Saccharomyces cerevisiae S288C: one gene and its partner. The protein of the gene in region 1 purifies or fractionates together with the protein of each later gene. This does not show direct contact. Each region holds a gene or a part of one and is shown on either strand. Other genes may lie near its edges. The genes, in order: RPN9 and SPG5.

Region 1 (11,109 bases):
TTCTTCAACTTAACTTTATAGGAGTTCAAATTCTTTGAAATTAGCCTGACCCAAACTAACAACTATATTTGTAGCTTTTTGCATACTCAAAGGACTAAGATGATAGGATATTGTATATATTCAATTGCACCTCTTAACTGGTACTTTATTTCTTGTGAATGTTCGATATCTTACCGCTTATTCTCTCATTCCATATGAGAACTCTCGTATAGAAAGGGAGACCTTTTTTCACTTGAAAAATGACAATAAGATATCCAAAATAGATCGGCTTGGGACAAAAAAATGGTTAAATTACAAGATTTCTGTAGTTTCTCAACTTTCTAGTATTAATTGGGGGAGGGGAAACTGGTCTACTGCTAGATCAAGTTTCCACTGAGTTATCTCACAAGATAACAAAAAACGGGGTTCATTATCAGTATAGTCAATTATATTATCCTGCCCGTATGTTGAAGAGGAGATTCTCGTTAGAAACTTTAAGTAAAACTTATTTTTGTTAATTTTGCAGCACATTCCATTCAATAAAAGATAGTTTGGTGCAGGGAAATAAAAAAAATTGAAAGACACATAAGAATCTAGAGGTAGTAGTAGTAGTATTACACGAAAGAAGGTCTAATTAAAATCCAATACAGAAGTTTTAACGACTCATCAATTTGGAAATGAAATTCCGTTGTAAAAAGGATGTTAAATGTTATCATGGGATTATTCTATCTACTGGAGTGAAGTCGGGACTCGCAATAAACAATTCTGTTTTCAATCATATACTTTGGGATCTTCTAACACTAAACTTATTAATAAACAAAAACTATACTTAATAAAAGGGAGGGGAGGGAATGGGGAGGAAGTTCTTCAAAAAAAAAACTTTTTCAACATTTAATACGATGTTTTCCTTTTTCATTTGTTCTCAGTCTCATATTTAAGTTTTAAAACAATTCATATCTTTTGTTAATTTCTCCTTTTTTTTTCTCAACTATATAAATGGCTTACCTGGTTGGTGATCTTTCACGTGGAGCATCTCTGGTTCTGTATGCATCTCTTGGAGGACCATAATCGCCTCTTGGACCATCATAACCACCTCTTGAACCACCGTAGCTACCTCTTGGAGGACCGTAATCATTTCTTGGACCACCATAGCCACCTCTGGAATAACCACCTCTTGGACTATCGTAACCACCTCTAGGACTATCGTAACCACCTCTGGAGCCACCATATCCGCCTCTGGAGTAGCCACCGTAGCCACCTCTGGAATAGCCACCGTAACCACCTCTTGGACCACCAAATCCACCTCTGGGGCCACCGAAGCCGCCTCTGGAGAAACCGCCTCTGAAGCCACCTCTGAAGCCGCCTCTGAAGCCGCCGCGACCTCTGAAGCCACCTCTATTTGATCTTCTGATTGGTGGAGGATTGTCATCTCTTTCAACAGTAATGACAGAACCTCTGAATTCAATATTGTTTAATCTCTCCAAAGCTTCGACCAAGATTTCTTCACTAGGGAATTCTAGAGCACCGGTACCATCAAAATCTCTGGTATTGACGCTAGAAAAAGTAGTTTCTAAACTATTTTCCCTGGCTAAATCTTTAAGATCTTGCCATGAACAACCTTCTGGTAAGTTTTTCATGGTGATACGGTATCTCTTGGCAGGCAATTTAGAGTAAACAACTTCCAAAGGTTGGTTAGCAAAACTCTTACCGTGAACTTCTTCAATGGCTTTGGCAGCGGATTCTGCTTCTTCAAATTCAACAAACGCGAAGCCGTTCAAGATCTTGACTTCCTTCATTGGTCCAAATGGACCAAAGATTTCATTCAACTCGGATTCTTGAACGTCCAATGGGAAAGGTCTAACAAACAATCTGGTGTTCGAGAGTTCTCCTTCTTGACGGTGGTGCATTGGTGGGCGACCGTGCATGTGTTCACCTGGAGGAGGAGGAGGATAATATGGTTGGGGTTCAGGTGGTTGGTGGTGCTGGTGGGCCTCTTGGTAGTCTTGGACACTGTGGGATTCTTCGCCTTCATAAATTGGAGCATTAGATGGTGGAGGAACGTCATTTTGTTCTTGTGGAGCTGGTGGTTCTTGTGGAGCAGATTCCTGTGGAGCAGATTCCTGTGGAACTTGTGGTTCTTGTGGAGCATCTGGAGCCTGTGGTGGTTCTTGGTGCTGTTCTTCGACTGGGGCATCGACAACAGATTCTGGTAGTTGCTCTACGTGAGTTTCTTGAGCTTCAGACATTATCCTTATGGTTTTAGCGTAATTGCTTAATTTTGATTCCTTCAAAAGTATATATATTTAGAAGAGAGGAAATTATTTTTCTCATGTCCTTTTTAAATCCCTTTGGGTGGCGAAAAAAAAGAATGTAAAAAATTTTGCCCTTCGTTTACAGTGATAAATATACGGAGGGGCTCTATGATAAAGGTAGTAGTAAATCATTGAATTGTTGAACAAGCATTGACAGATATGATAACAAGCAATTGTAATCAATAAGCCACCAATTAGAAGGCTACTCAAAAGAATAAAGTTACTATAAAATATACTGCGGTATATATGTTGCGGTTTCAGCGATTTGCGTCCTCGTATGCCCAAGCACAGGCCGTTAGAAAATATCCAGTTGGAGGTATATTCCATGGTTATGAAGTGAGAAGAATTCTACCGGTTCCGGAGCTGAGACTCACTGCGGTAGATTTGGTGCACTCCCAGACAGGAGCCGAGCATTTGCATATTGATAGAGACGACAAGAATAATGTGTTCAGCATTGCTTTTAAAACCAACCCTCCAGATTCCACTGGGGTCCCTCATATTCTAGAGCATACAACGTTGTGTGGGTCTGTTAAATATCCAGTTAGGGACCCTTTTTTCAAAATGCTAAATAAATCTCTAGCTAATTTCATGAACGCTATGACAGGTCCAGATTATACATTTTTTCCCTTTTCCACTACGAACCCTCAAGATTTCGCTAATTTAAGAGGTGTTTATTTAGACTCCACCTTGAATCCGCTACTTAAACAAGAAGATTTTGATCAGGAGGGTTGGAGGTTGGAGCATAAAAACATCACAGACCCGGAGAGTAACATTGTTTTCAAAGGTGTTGTCTATAACGAAATGAAAGGTCAAATATCAAATGCCAATTACTATTTCTGGAGTAAATTTCAACAGTCTATTTATCCTTCCCTGAATAACTCCGGCGGAGATCCTATGAAAATTACAGACTTGAGATACGGCGATCTCTTGGATTTCCATCACAAAAATTACCATCCCTCCAATGCAAAAACTTTCACGTACGGTAACTTGCCATTGGTGGATACGTTAAAGCAATTAAATGAGCAGTTCAGTGGTTACGGGAAGAGAGCTCGAAAGGATAAGTTGTTAATGCCTATTGATTTAAAAAAAGACATAGATGTCAAGTTACTGGGTCAAATAGATACTATGCTTCCACCGGAGAAGCAGACAAAAGCCTCAATGACGTGGATTTGTGGAGCGCCACAGGACACATATGATACCTTTTTGTTAAAAGTACTGGGGAATTTATTAATGGATGGCCATTCTTCTGTAATGTATCAAAAATTAATAGAATCAGGAATTGGTTTGGAGTTCTCCGTAAATTCAGGTGTTGAACCAACTACAGCAGTAAATTTGCTAACTGTTGGTATACAGGGCGTGAGTGATATTGAAATATTTAAAGACACTGTAAATAATATTTTTCAAAACCTGTTGGAAACAGAACATCCTTTTGACCGCAAGCGTATCGATGCCATAATTGAACAATTGGAATTATCTAAGAAGGATCAAAAGGCTGACTTTGGACTTCAATTACTCTATTCTATACTACCTGGTTGGACAAACAAAATCGATCCTTTTGAGAGCTTGTTGTTTGAGGACGTTTTGCAAAGATTTAGAGGTGACTTAGAAACGAAAGGTGATACTTTATTCCAAGATTTAATCCGTAAATATATCGTTCATAAACCTTGTTTCACGTTTTCCATTCAGGGATCTGAAGAGTTCTCTAAATCTTTGGATGATGAAGAACAAACAAGACTGAGAGAAAAAATTACTGCCTTGGATGAACAAGACAAGAAAAACATCTTTAAACGTGGTATACTGTTACAGGAGAAACAAAATGAAAAAGAAGATTTATCCTGTTTACCTACCTTACAAATAAAAGACATCCCAAGAGCTGGTGATAAATATTCAATCGAACAGAAGAATAATACAATGTCTAGGATTACTGATACCAATGGTATCACATATGTCAGAGGTAAACGTTTACTAAATGACATAATACCCTTTGAACTCTTCCCATACTTACCTTTATTTGCTGAATCGTTAACTAACCTAGGGACAACAACAGAATCCTTCAGTGAAATAGAAGATCAGATAAAATTACATACGGGTGGTATATCAACACATGTAGAGGTTACATCTGACCCTAACACCACAGAGCCTCGCCTGATTTTCGGGTTTGACGGATGGTCTTTAAATTCGAAGACCGACCACATTTTTGAATTCTGGTCTAAGATCTTACTAGAAACTGATTTCCATAAAAACAGCGATAAATTGAAAGTTCTTATCCGCTTATTAGCATCTTCAAACACATCTTCTGTAGCAGATGCCGGTCATGCATTTGCAAGGGGCTATTCTGCCGCACATTATAGATCAAGTGGAGCTATAAATGAGACCCTCAATGGTATTGAGCAACTACAATTTATAAATAGATTGCACAGCTTGTTAGACAATGAAGAAACTTTCCAAAGAGAAGTTGTCGACAAGCTAACTGAATTGCAAAAGTACATTGTTGATACCAATAACATGAATTTTTTTATCACCTCAGACTCTGATGTTCAAGCGAAAACAGTAGAAAGCCAAATTTCAAAATTCATGGAGAGATTACCTCATGGCAGCTGCTTGCCCAATGGACCAAAGACTTCAGATTATCCTCTTATTGGATCCAAATGTAAACATACTTTGATAAAATTTCCTTTCCAGGTCCATTACACATCCCAAGCTTTATTGGGTGTGCCGTATACACATAAGGATGGCTCTGCACTTCAAGTTATGTCAAATATGCTAACATTCAAACATTTGCACAGAGAAGTCAGAGAAAAGGGTGGTGCTTATGGTGGTGGTGCTTCTTATAGCGCCTTAGCGGGTATTTTCAGTTTCTATTCCTATAGGGATCCTCAGCCTTTGAAGAGTTTAGAAACCTTCAAGAATAGCGGGCGTTATATACTGAACGATGCCAAGTGGGGCGTCACAGACCTTGATGAAGCTAAATTGACAATATTTCAACAAGTAGACGCACCTAAAAGTCCCAAAGGAGAAGGCGTGACGTATTTCATGAGCGGTGTTACAGACGATATGAAACAAGCAAGAAGGGAACAACTCTTAGACGTATCTCTCCTGGACGTTCATAGAGTCGCCGAAAAATATCTACTAAACAAAGAAGGGGTGAGTACGGTCATTGGACCTGGAATCGAGGGGAAGACTGTTTCACCAAATTGGGAGGTGAAGGAACTGTAGATATATAATTTAATCCTGTAAATATACTGCTTCAAAGTTTCTTGCCGATCTATACTCATCGCTTGTAACGAAGTTAAAATTTTTTTCTTTCACTGAGTGTGGAAAGTGAAAAATTATCACGATGGCAAAAGAGAGGGAAGAGAAGCCCTAGTTACTCGCTGTATTGAAAGGATCAAAAGACCAAAGACCACCAGGAATAATGAGTGAAGTTGCACCAGAGGAGATCATAGAGAATGCAGATGGATCTAGATCTATCATTACATACAAGATTGAAGACGGTGTCAAGTATAAGATTACTCAGAAAGTAAAAGAGGTTAAAGTATTGGAAAAAGTCCATAAATCTGTTGCAGAAAGAAAAAACTGGCATAAATATGGCTCTGAAAAAGGGTCTCCAGCAGGTCCAAGTGCTGTTACAGCAAGATTGGGTGAAGAAGTAGAATTAAGATTGAGTAGGAACTGGAAACAAGCTGAAGAAGAAAGAATACAAAAAGAAAAGGCAAGTCTCACAAAGACCGGTCTACAATGTAGATTATGTGGTAACGACCATATGACCATGAACTGTCCATTCAAGACAATTTTAAGTGAACTTTCAGCATTAGAAGACCCAGCCACTAATGAAGGCGGTGTCGAGGCCGCCAGTGAAGAGAAGGCAGGCCAAGTTGGCGGAGCTGGTTCCATCCCAGGGCAGTATGTTCCACCTTCTCGTCGTGCTGGTGCAAGAGATCCTTCATCCGATGCTTACAGAGACTCTAGAGAACGTGATGATATGTGTACTTTGAAGATTATGCAAGTTAATGAAAATGCCGATGAAAATAGTTTGAGAGAAGAGTTATTGTTCCCATTCGCACCCATTCCAAGAGTTTCTGTCGTTAGAAACAAAGAAACAGGTAAATCAAGAGGTCTCGCCTTTGTTACCTTTTCGAGCGAAGAAGTTGCCGAACAAGCTTTACGTTTCTTGGATGGTAGGGGTTATATGAATTTAATTTTACGTGTTGAATGGTCCAAACCTAAGGTTAAGGAATAGATGCACAGAATATGCTCTGCACTTGTTTTCTAATGTTACTCTTCTCATATAAAAATTGTAGATATTAAGAAAGAAAGTATGTAAACTAATCAATCTATACCTAAAAGAATATTGTTCAATATTCTATAAAGCACGCACGGCATGGTAAAATTTTTAACGATTGTAAGATTACAACAAGTTGCAATCCATTCAAGCTAAAAAATCAAAGCAAGGAAAAGCTCAGAGGCTGTCGTGAATATGTCAAATACCGTAAGAGCCATTTCACCAGATATAACACTATTCAACAAGACATTGACATTCCAAGAAATCTCACAAAACACTAGAGAGGCTGTCATATACATTCATGGAGGTGCATGGAACGATCCTGAGAATACGCCCAATGATTTTAATCAATTAGCCAATACCATCAAATCAATGGATACTGAGTCAACGGTTTGTCAATACTCTATAGAATACAGGTTATCACCAGAGATCACAAATCCAAGAAACTTATATGATGCTGTGTCAAATATAACAAGGCTTGTTAAAGAAAAGGGATTAACGAACATTAATATGGTGGGACATTCCGTTGGAGCTACCTTTATTTGGCAGATATTAGCTGCACTCAAAGATCCTCAAGAAAAAATGAGTGAAGCGCAATTGCAAATGTTGGGACTTTTGCAGATCGTGAAGAGAGTATTTCTATTGGATGGTATATACTCGTTAAAGGAACTGTTGGTAGAATACCCAGAGTATGATTGTTTTACAAGACTTGCCTTCCCTGATGGTATTCAAATGTACGAGGAAGAGCCCTCGAGAGTAATGCCTTACGTGAAGAAAGCCCTTTCTCGCTTCAGTATTGATATGCACCTAGTGCATTCTTATAGCGACGAGTTATTAACGTTAAGACAAACTAATTGTTTAATTTCTTGTCTTCAGGATTATCAGTTAAGTTTCAAGTTGTATTTGGACGATTTGGGTTTGCATAATGATGTTTATAAGAATGGTAAAGTTGCGAAGTATATTTTTGACAATATTTGTTGATAGTTGATTTTATTTCTGCATTTATATATATGTGTGCGTGTGTGTTTTATATATAACTGCCAATGGCCTAAACCCAGATGGATTGGCCACGAGCTTCCATTTTTTTGCCCAGTTTTTCTACTTGATCGTTCCATTCAACCAGTCTGTCCTTCATCTTTGTAATTTGGTCACCACTTATGATTCTTGGTTGGACCCAGGAGATGGTAACGAGTTCATTTACTTGGTCAATAGAACCCTTTAATAGACCCAAACTTATGGCTCTCATGACCAGGTGTTCGACATTATCCTTTGGTAGGTGTGTAGCCTTTGAAATATCTTCAAATGAAAGCATCCTAATATTTTTGACAAAAACTGTTTCAATTAATGTCATTAGGCAAATTTTTTGTCGTAAAAATGATTCATGTTGAGCCAATATAGGAATCTTTGATATTTGAACTTTTATCAATGAGTCGAATTTATCAAAATCACCAACGGTTAGAGCATTTAATAATTGGAAAAGCCAATCGTAATTGGAATCGTTGACTATAGTTTCCATTATTGGATGGTGTAATAGTTCGCCAAAATTATAGATTTTGTCACCTAACAATGCTGAGATACTCAAATCATAGGCCAATTGTTGACGTTCGGCTAAAGTAATGCTTGTAGATGGTTCTAAGGTAGAAAGGTATAATAGACTTGTGTAGTAGAAAGAATTGAAATCATTTTTAAATTTAAAATACTGGGAATTTGTAGAATAGAAGCTGTTTGTTATCCTTAATGGAATGGAATCCTTTTTATCCAATGTCTTTTCCAAATCATCTAATAAATCTCTTGCCTTAACGAGGTCGTTCTTTAACAGGTAAGTTCTAGCAATTTCGCTATCTATCAACAAAATACCATCACCATGGTCTTTTGATCCATTATTTCTTTGTTTTTTAGAGTCCAATTCTTGAAATTGAGCCTTCAAATCATCCAAATATTTTAAAGACTCATCGAAATCCTTAGAATCCTTCAAAGAGGCAAGTAGATACTTTACTACTGACAATTGGTTGATTTTATCATAAAATTTAGAAACGAAGTTATCATATAATCTGAGCCTCAATGGTGTAGATTTAGCATCATCAAAAAATTTAGTCAAGGATTCGGACAATTGGAACCACAATTTCTCTTCATAAAATTTCTCAAATTGTTCGAATAAAGGATGCAAAGAGGGATCTGCCTCCATGCGGAGAGTGCTTAATATGGTGTCAATTTCATGATTATTAAACATCTTGCGAAATATAATGTGGTTTCCTCGCGTGTGCCCACTGTTTGCTTTTTGGTACTTAATAGTTTCTTCAATCTAGGTCTAGCTTTTATTTGTTCTTACTTTTGCCACCGGATGAAAGCGGGGAGCGGGTAAGAATGAAAATGATAATAATAGGATAAATGAATGTGTGTATTCAAATTTTTCTAACGTATACGTTATATGTATATATATATATATATATATGTATATGCTATTTGCAACACGATGCGTGACGGTAATGCTTTTTATAGGGCCTCGTCGATTTGTAACTTTGCCAGTTTCCAATTCTTCAGACATTCTTTGATCCATGCTTTGAAGCTAGCTGCGAAAAGTTTCAAGATCTTTCCAATGGTCAAATTAATATGGTTATATGTATGCATTAAGCTGTTGTATGACGAATTGTTAATTTCTAGCATGTCTGATATACAGATTGATAGACAATCTTTCAATTTGGATAAATCTTGGTTCAACTGTTTGATCTGTTTAGATCTTTCTTGTTCAGTCAATTGTTTGATTTCTAATTTATTGAGATTCATTGTTGGCGTAGACGTTTTATAGTTTAGTTTACTTGCGCCTATATGAATTTCGTTTTGGTGTCCACTGGAGCTTGAATTTGAACTTGACTTCGATAGCGATCTTACGTCCTTTTTAACAAATGTCAGGTCAGCAGCCTTTGTATCTTTGTAATTTTCATCTGTCAATATAGTCGACCGCGTTAAACTTTCATTAATCTTCTGCAGTTGGTTTTCAATCTCAGTGAGACTCGAAAGTTTCGTTTCTTTTTCGATAATTAGCCTCTCTAATATTTTAAATTGCAAAAACTTTAATTTCTTGAAATTTAGAACTTTGAATGACTCATTTAAGAACTGCAATAACTCATTAATGGGGTCCTCAAGAATAGAGGTGTACTTTTCTATTAAGATCTCGGAAGAAATGTATATAACATCGAATGAATGGCCTGTCTTTTCAATATGACTAATAATTTCCATCATTGGGTTGTTTGAATTGTTTTCAGATTCGCGAAGGCTGTTGGGCATGGTTATGTCATTTTCCAAACTAAAAGCATTATAATATGCGCCTAATTCAGCAAAATACGTGGACAAGGAGTGGAAATGAGATTTATTTGATCTTATGTTTTTTAATAAATGGGTGATTATTCGCTTATAATTTTGGAATAAATTTTCAATATGTGTAAATTGAGATTCGTTTTGTAAAATTTCTGTTGGGAGGTTGGAAATTTCATTATGACTTTTTACTGTGATGTGTTGTTGCCAAATCGAATTATAGTTTCTCAGAGACGAGTTGGATGGAATAGGTAAAATAGAATGAAGGGGGCTTGGTTTTGTTGGGCTTAAAGGTGGAGCTAAAAGGTTATTCAAAGGTAGTATGATTATCGGCGACGAACTTAAAACATCTTTCCAATTAAATTCAGGGTTTAGAAATTTTTGAAAAACAATATCGTTGCTTATTTCTTGAATGTTCAGACAGTTAGACAAGAATGAATTGAGCATTTTCTTCCTGGTGGAGATAATTTTGGAATCATTTGCTGCGTTTATGGGACTCCATATGTATTTGAGAAGAGAATGCTTGGATGGAATGGGTGGAATAATTATCGTAGGAAGGAGTCTAGTTAGAGATTGCCTCAAAGAATGAAATTCAGAGTACCTTCTGATAATCTTGTTGTTTTCATATAGAATTACGTAACCGATAGCGTGTTTCCCCCATGGATCTTTGAAATCGCCGGCATCAATGATTTGGATCTGCTGTGTCCCATTCATATCGTGGGGAGTAAATTTGCTAATAGTAGCAGTAGTAGACATCGACAAGGAAACAAAAGGTTCAGTTTCCGCATCTGCTTCCACTACGGCATGAGAAGAGGTTGAAGATGACGTAGATGCTCTGGAAGAGCCAGCAGAAGAGGAATGTGCCGGGCTAGATGGCAAAGACGATGAAGAAGGGGGCGAATTTTCGTTCTCTGGGCGAGCTTCGCCGATAGTAGTCCCAATTCCAGAAGCATATAGGTGATGAGTGCCGACGAATGGATTATTATCTTCTTCTGAGAGATCCATGTCAGATGTGCTGCTTTGTTGTTCATGTACCGCCTCAAATATGTTGTAGTCCATTTTTTCTGTATGTGTAGTAGTATCCGTTGTTACTCACTACGTGTATAGATGTCTATTTATGTCTCTATCCCTTATCTCTTTATCTTGTTGCCTGGTTCTCTTTTCCCTTTAAATGGAGATTACAAACTAGCGAAACTGCAGAAAAGGAAAGCCTCCAAAACTACT
Region 2 (3,218 bases), on another chromosome or scaffold:
CCATTTCTACTTTCTCATCCGAATATGCTTTTTCATCGCCTTCTGGTACTGATATTTCATCCCTGAGAGCGATGCGATCAGAGTCTTTCTCTGGCTGGGTTTGATGGGGAGTTCGTGGAACTTCAATGCGTTCTTCATGTATATCTTCATTCGAATTCATCTGTTAGTGTGTTTATATTTGTTTTCTTGCCGCTATAATCATAAGAGTATATACATGCAGTACTAGTGCAATTGTTGTATATTCTCGTTAAGTGCTTTTCTTTGCCTATGGATAAAGTACATATATGGCTTATTTTCTGCCGAATTTTCATGAAGTTTTTATGCGAAGAGAATGCAAATATAACGATAAAAATAGAATGTATTAACTATAGAGACAATGAAAACAAGCACAAATATATATATATATATATATATATATATATGAACACACAACGTGCGTCCATGTGCAAGAACAAGTAAAGTAACCTTCTTGGTAATAGCGCGATGAAACAACGTCTTTGCTAGACCAATTCATAAGTATCATAGGATGCATCTGATAAAATAGGTGAAAAAGCGCTCCTAGAGGGAAACGAGGGCTCCTTAACAAAAGACCATACGCTTCCTGAATTGTCAACATTAACCAGAGCATTCAAATTTGTACCTTCTAGACTGATATCGGGAGACGTATCTGCGTAAATAACACCCGTAGCAATATTCAGACCTGCAATTAGTTTTTCTGTTTCCACCACAGTTGAGTTTGGAAAATGTATTCGAATCTTATTTCGATGAAAAGTTATCGGCAATGATCCATAATTCTGCAAGATCATGTCAACACTACTGTATATTGATTTTAATTCGTATTTGTAATTTCTAATCATTTCATCCAAATCCGCTAACAAAGAAGGATCTAAAAATGACAAAGGTGCGGAGAATGTCCCATTAACGTTAAATTCTGAAATGGTAAATTCAATATAGGAACCTGGTTTTTCCATGTAATATGCGCTTGTTTCATCAACGACTTCATTCTGGGTCTTCATTATCTTAAATAGTTCTAAATTACGAATGAAATTGATATCCTTTTGAGATAACTTCTTAAGGGCAACTGGTTGGACGTGATCCTGTTTAGAGGTAACATTAGACGCATTCTGATAAGCTTTGCAGGAATTAGAGTGGGAGCACTGATTTAATCCGCCTAGTGAGTTGAAAAAACACCTCAAAGATATAGTCATGTTATTCACGGCTTCTTGGGTAAATTTGATACTGGAAGTCGAATAAGCTCTCTGCCCTAATAATCTCTTTGATGTAGTCATATTCCAGTTGGTAAAAAGGCCCCTTGGGGCTCCTTTGGGCACTCTGGGAAAAGAAGCAAATTTACTGACATTGGGAACAGGTCTGAAATGGTCAAACCTTGCGATTCCTCTCCTCGTGAGAGGAGATACCGTTAAACCACTTGCCCTCCTAAAAGCTGTAGAAGCCTCAAATAGGCTCTTCCACCAAGTGACAAAAATATTGCGATTATATTGGTGGGAAAAATTCCCATGGCTCAAACTGATCAGCGTTCGGTCCAGAGACTTCGTGATCTGCCTGAGGTGGACCCGTGACATTCGCAGCCACATGCTCCAGTTATTACCACCGACAGCCATATTTCGTGTTGGTGCTCTTCTATTGTGAAAGAACCACTTTAGATCATGAAATGCGAAATGTGAAGGAAGAGAAGCTTCTCTCCACATGTCCTTTATATTTATATAGTTCAGCCGTGCGTTTCGAAGTGGATTGCCCGGCTTCGGCTGCCAGGATTTGTTTATGCTTTTGCAATGCACATATAACAAGAAACTCGAGCCTGATCTAAAAGCTGATATACGGATCAATAGAGGGCACTTAGCAGGCTGGGTGATCATTGGTGATACATTTCGGATTTGTGGCTTTACCGTTTAGTTTGTTTTTATCAGCCAGCTTGGAGTCATTGGCTAGAGGAAAGGAAAAAATACAGATTATTGTTGTATATATTTAAAAAATCATACACGTACACACAAGGCGGTAATGGTGACGAAGCCGTCACATAACTTAAGAAGGGAGCACAAATGGTTAAAGGAAACGGCGACTTTACAGGAAGACAAAGATTTCGTATTCCAGGCTATCCAAAAGCACATCGCGAACAAAAGGCCTAAGACAAATTCGCCACCAACAACGCCATCCAAAGATGAATGTGGACCAGGAACAACAAACTTTATAACCAGCATTCCTGCATCTGGACCAACGAATACTGCTACGAAACAACATGAAGTCATGCAAACTTTGTCGAACGATACAGAATGGCTCTCGTACACTGCCACATCGAATCAATATGCTGACGTACCCATGGTTGATATACCAGCCAGCACAAGTGTTGTATCGAACCCGAGGACGCCCAATGGCTCGAAAACTCACAATTTCAATACTTTTCGACCGCACATGGCTAGTTCTCTTGTCGAAAATGACAGTAGCAGAAATCTAGGTAGTAGAAATAACAATAAAAGCGTAATCGATAATTCAAGTATAGGCAAACAGCTCGAAAATGATATAAAATTAGAGGTGATCCGCCTTCAAGGCTCCCTAATTATGGCATTGAAAGAGCAATCGAAATTATTGCTACAGAAGTGTAGTATTATCGAATCCACATCATTGTCAGAGGACGCTAAAAGGCTACAGTTAAGTAGGGATATACGGCCTCAGTTATCAAATATGTCGATACGAATAGATAGTCTGGAAAAGGAGATCATAAAAGCCAAAAAAGATGGAATGTCAAAAGATCAAAGTAAAGGTCGCAGTCAAGTTTCTTCACAAGATGATAATATCATATCAAGCATTCTGCCCAGCCCCTTGGAATACAATACATCTTCCAGGAATTCAAACCTGACAAGTACTACTGCGACTACCGTCACTAAGGCATTAGCCATCACTGGTGCGAAGCAAAATATTACTAATAACACCGGTAAGAATAGCAATAATGATAGTAATAACGATGATTTGATTCAAGTCCTGGATGATGAGGATGATATAGACTGTGACCCTCCTGTAATATTGAAGGAGGGGGCTCCACATTCTCCCGCATTCCCGCATCTCCACATGACGTCAGAAGAACAAGATGAACTTACAAGAAGGAGAAATATGCGTTCAAGAGAACCAGTCAACTACAGAATACCTGATAGGGATGATCCTTTTGACTATGTTATGGGTAAATCTTTGAGGGACGATTATCC

What was found.
Region 2: the proteins of RPN9 (region 1) and SPG5 purify together in Saccharomyces cerevisiae (affinity purification with mass spectrometry, with the first as the bait; one large-scale study listed by BioGRID). This does not show direct contact.

Annotation. Positions count from the first base shown.
Region 1 is NC_001136.10:1,319,899-1,331,007, reverse strand, and holds RPN9 (proteasome regulatory particle lid subunit RPN9), read right to left. Parts: upstream 8,804-11,109; coding exon 7,622-8,803; downstream 1-7,621. Other genes in the region: mRNA-binding protein NPL3, read right to left, coding at 981-2,225; CYM1 (pitrilysin family metalloprotease), read left to right, coding at 2,538-5,507; TIF35 (translation initiation factor eIF3 core subunit g), read left to right, coding at 5,707-6,531; BNA7 (arylformamidase), read left to right, coding at 6,769-7,554; SNX41 (Snx41p), read right to left, coding at 9,067-10,944. UniProt on the Saccharomyces cerevisiae protein: Acts as a regulatory subunit of the 26S proteasome which is involved in the ATP-dependent degradation of ubiquitinated proteins.
Region 2 is NC_001145.3:644,060-647,277, reverse strand, and holds SPG5 (Spg5p), read right to left. Parts: upstream 1,623-3,218; coding exon 501-1,622; downstream 1-500. Other genes in the region: GYL1 (Gyl1p), read right to left, coding at 1-160; ATP-dependent DNA helicase SGS1, read left to right, coding at 2,020-3,218. UniProt on the Saccharomyces cerevisiae protein: Required for survival at high temperature during stationary phase.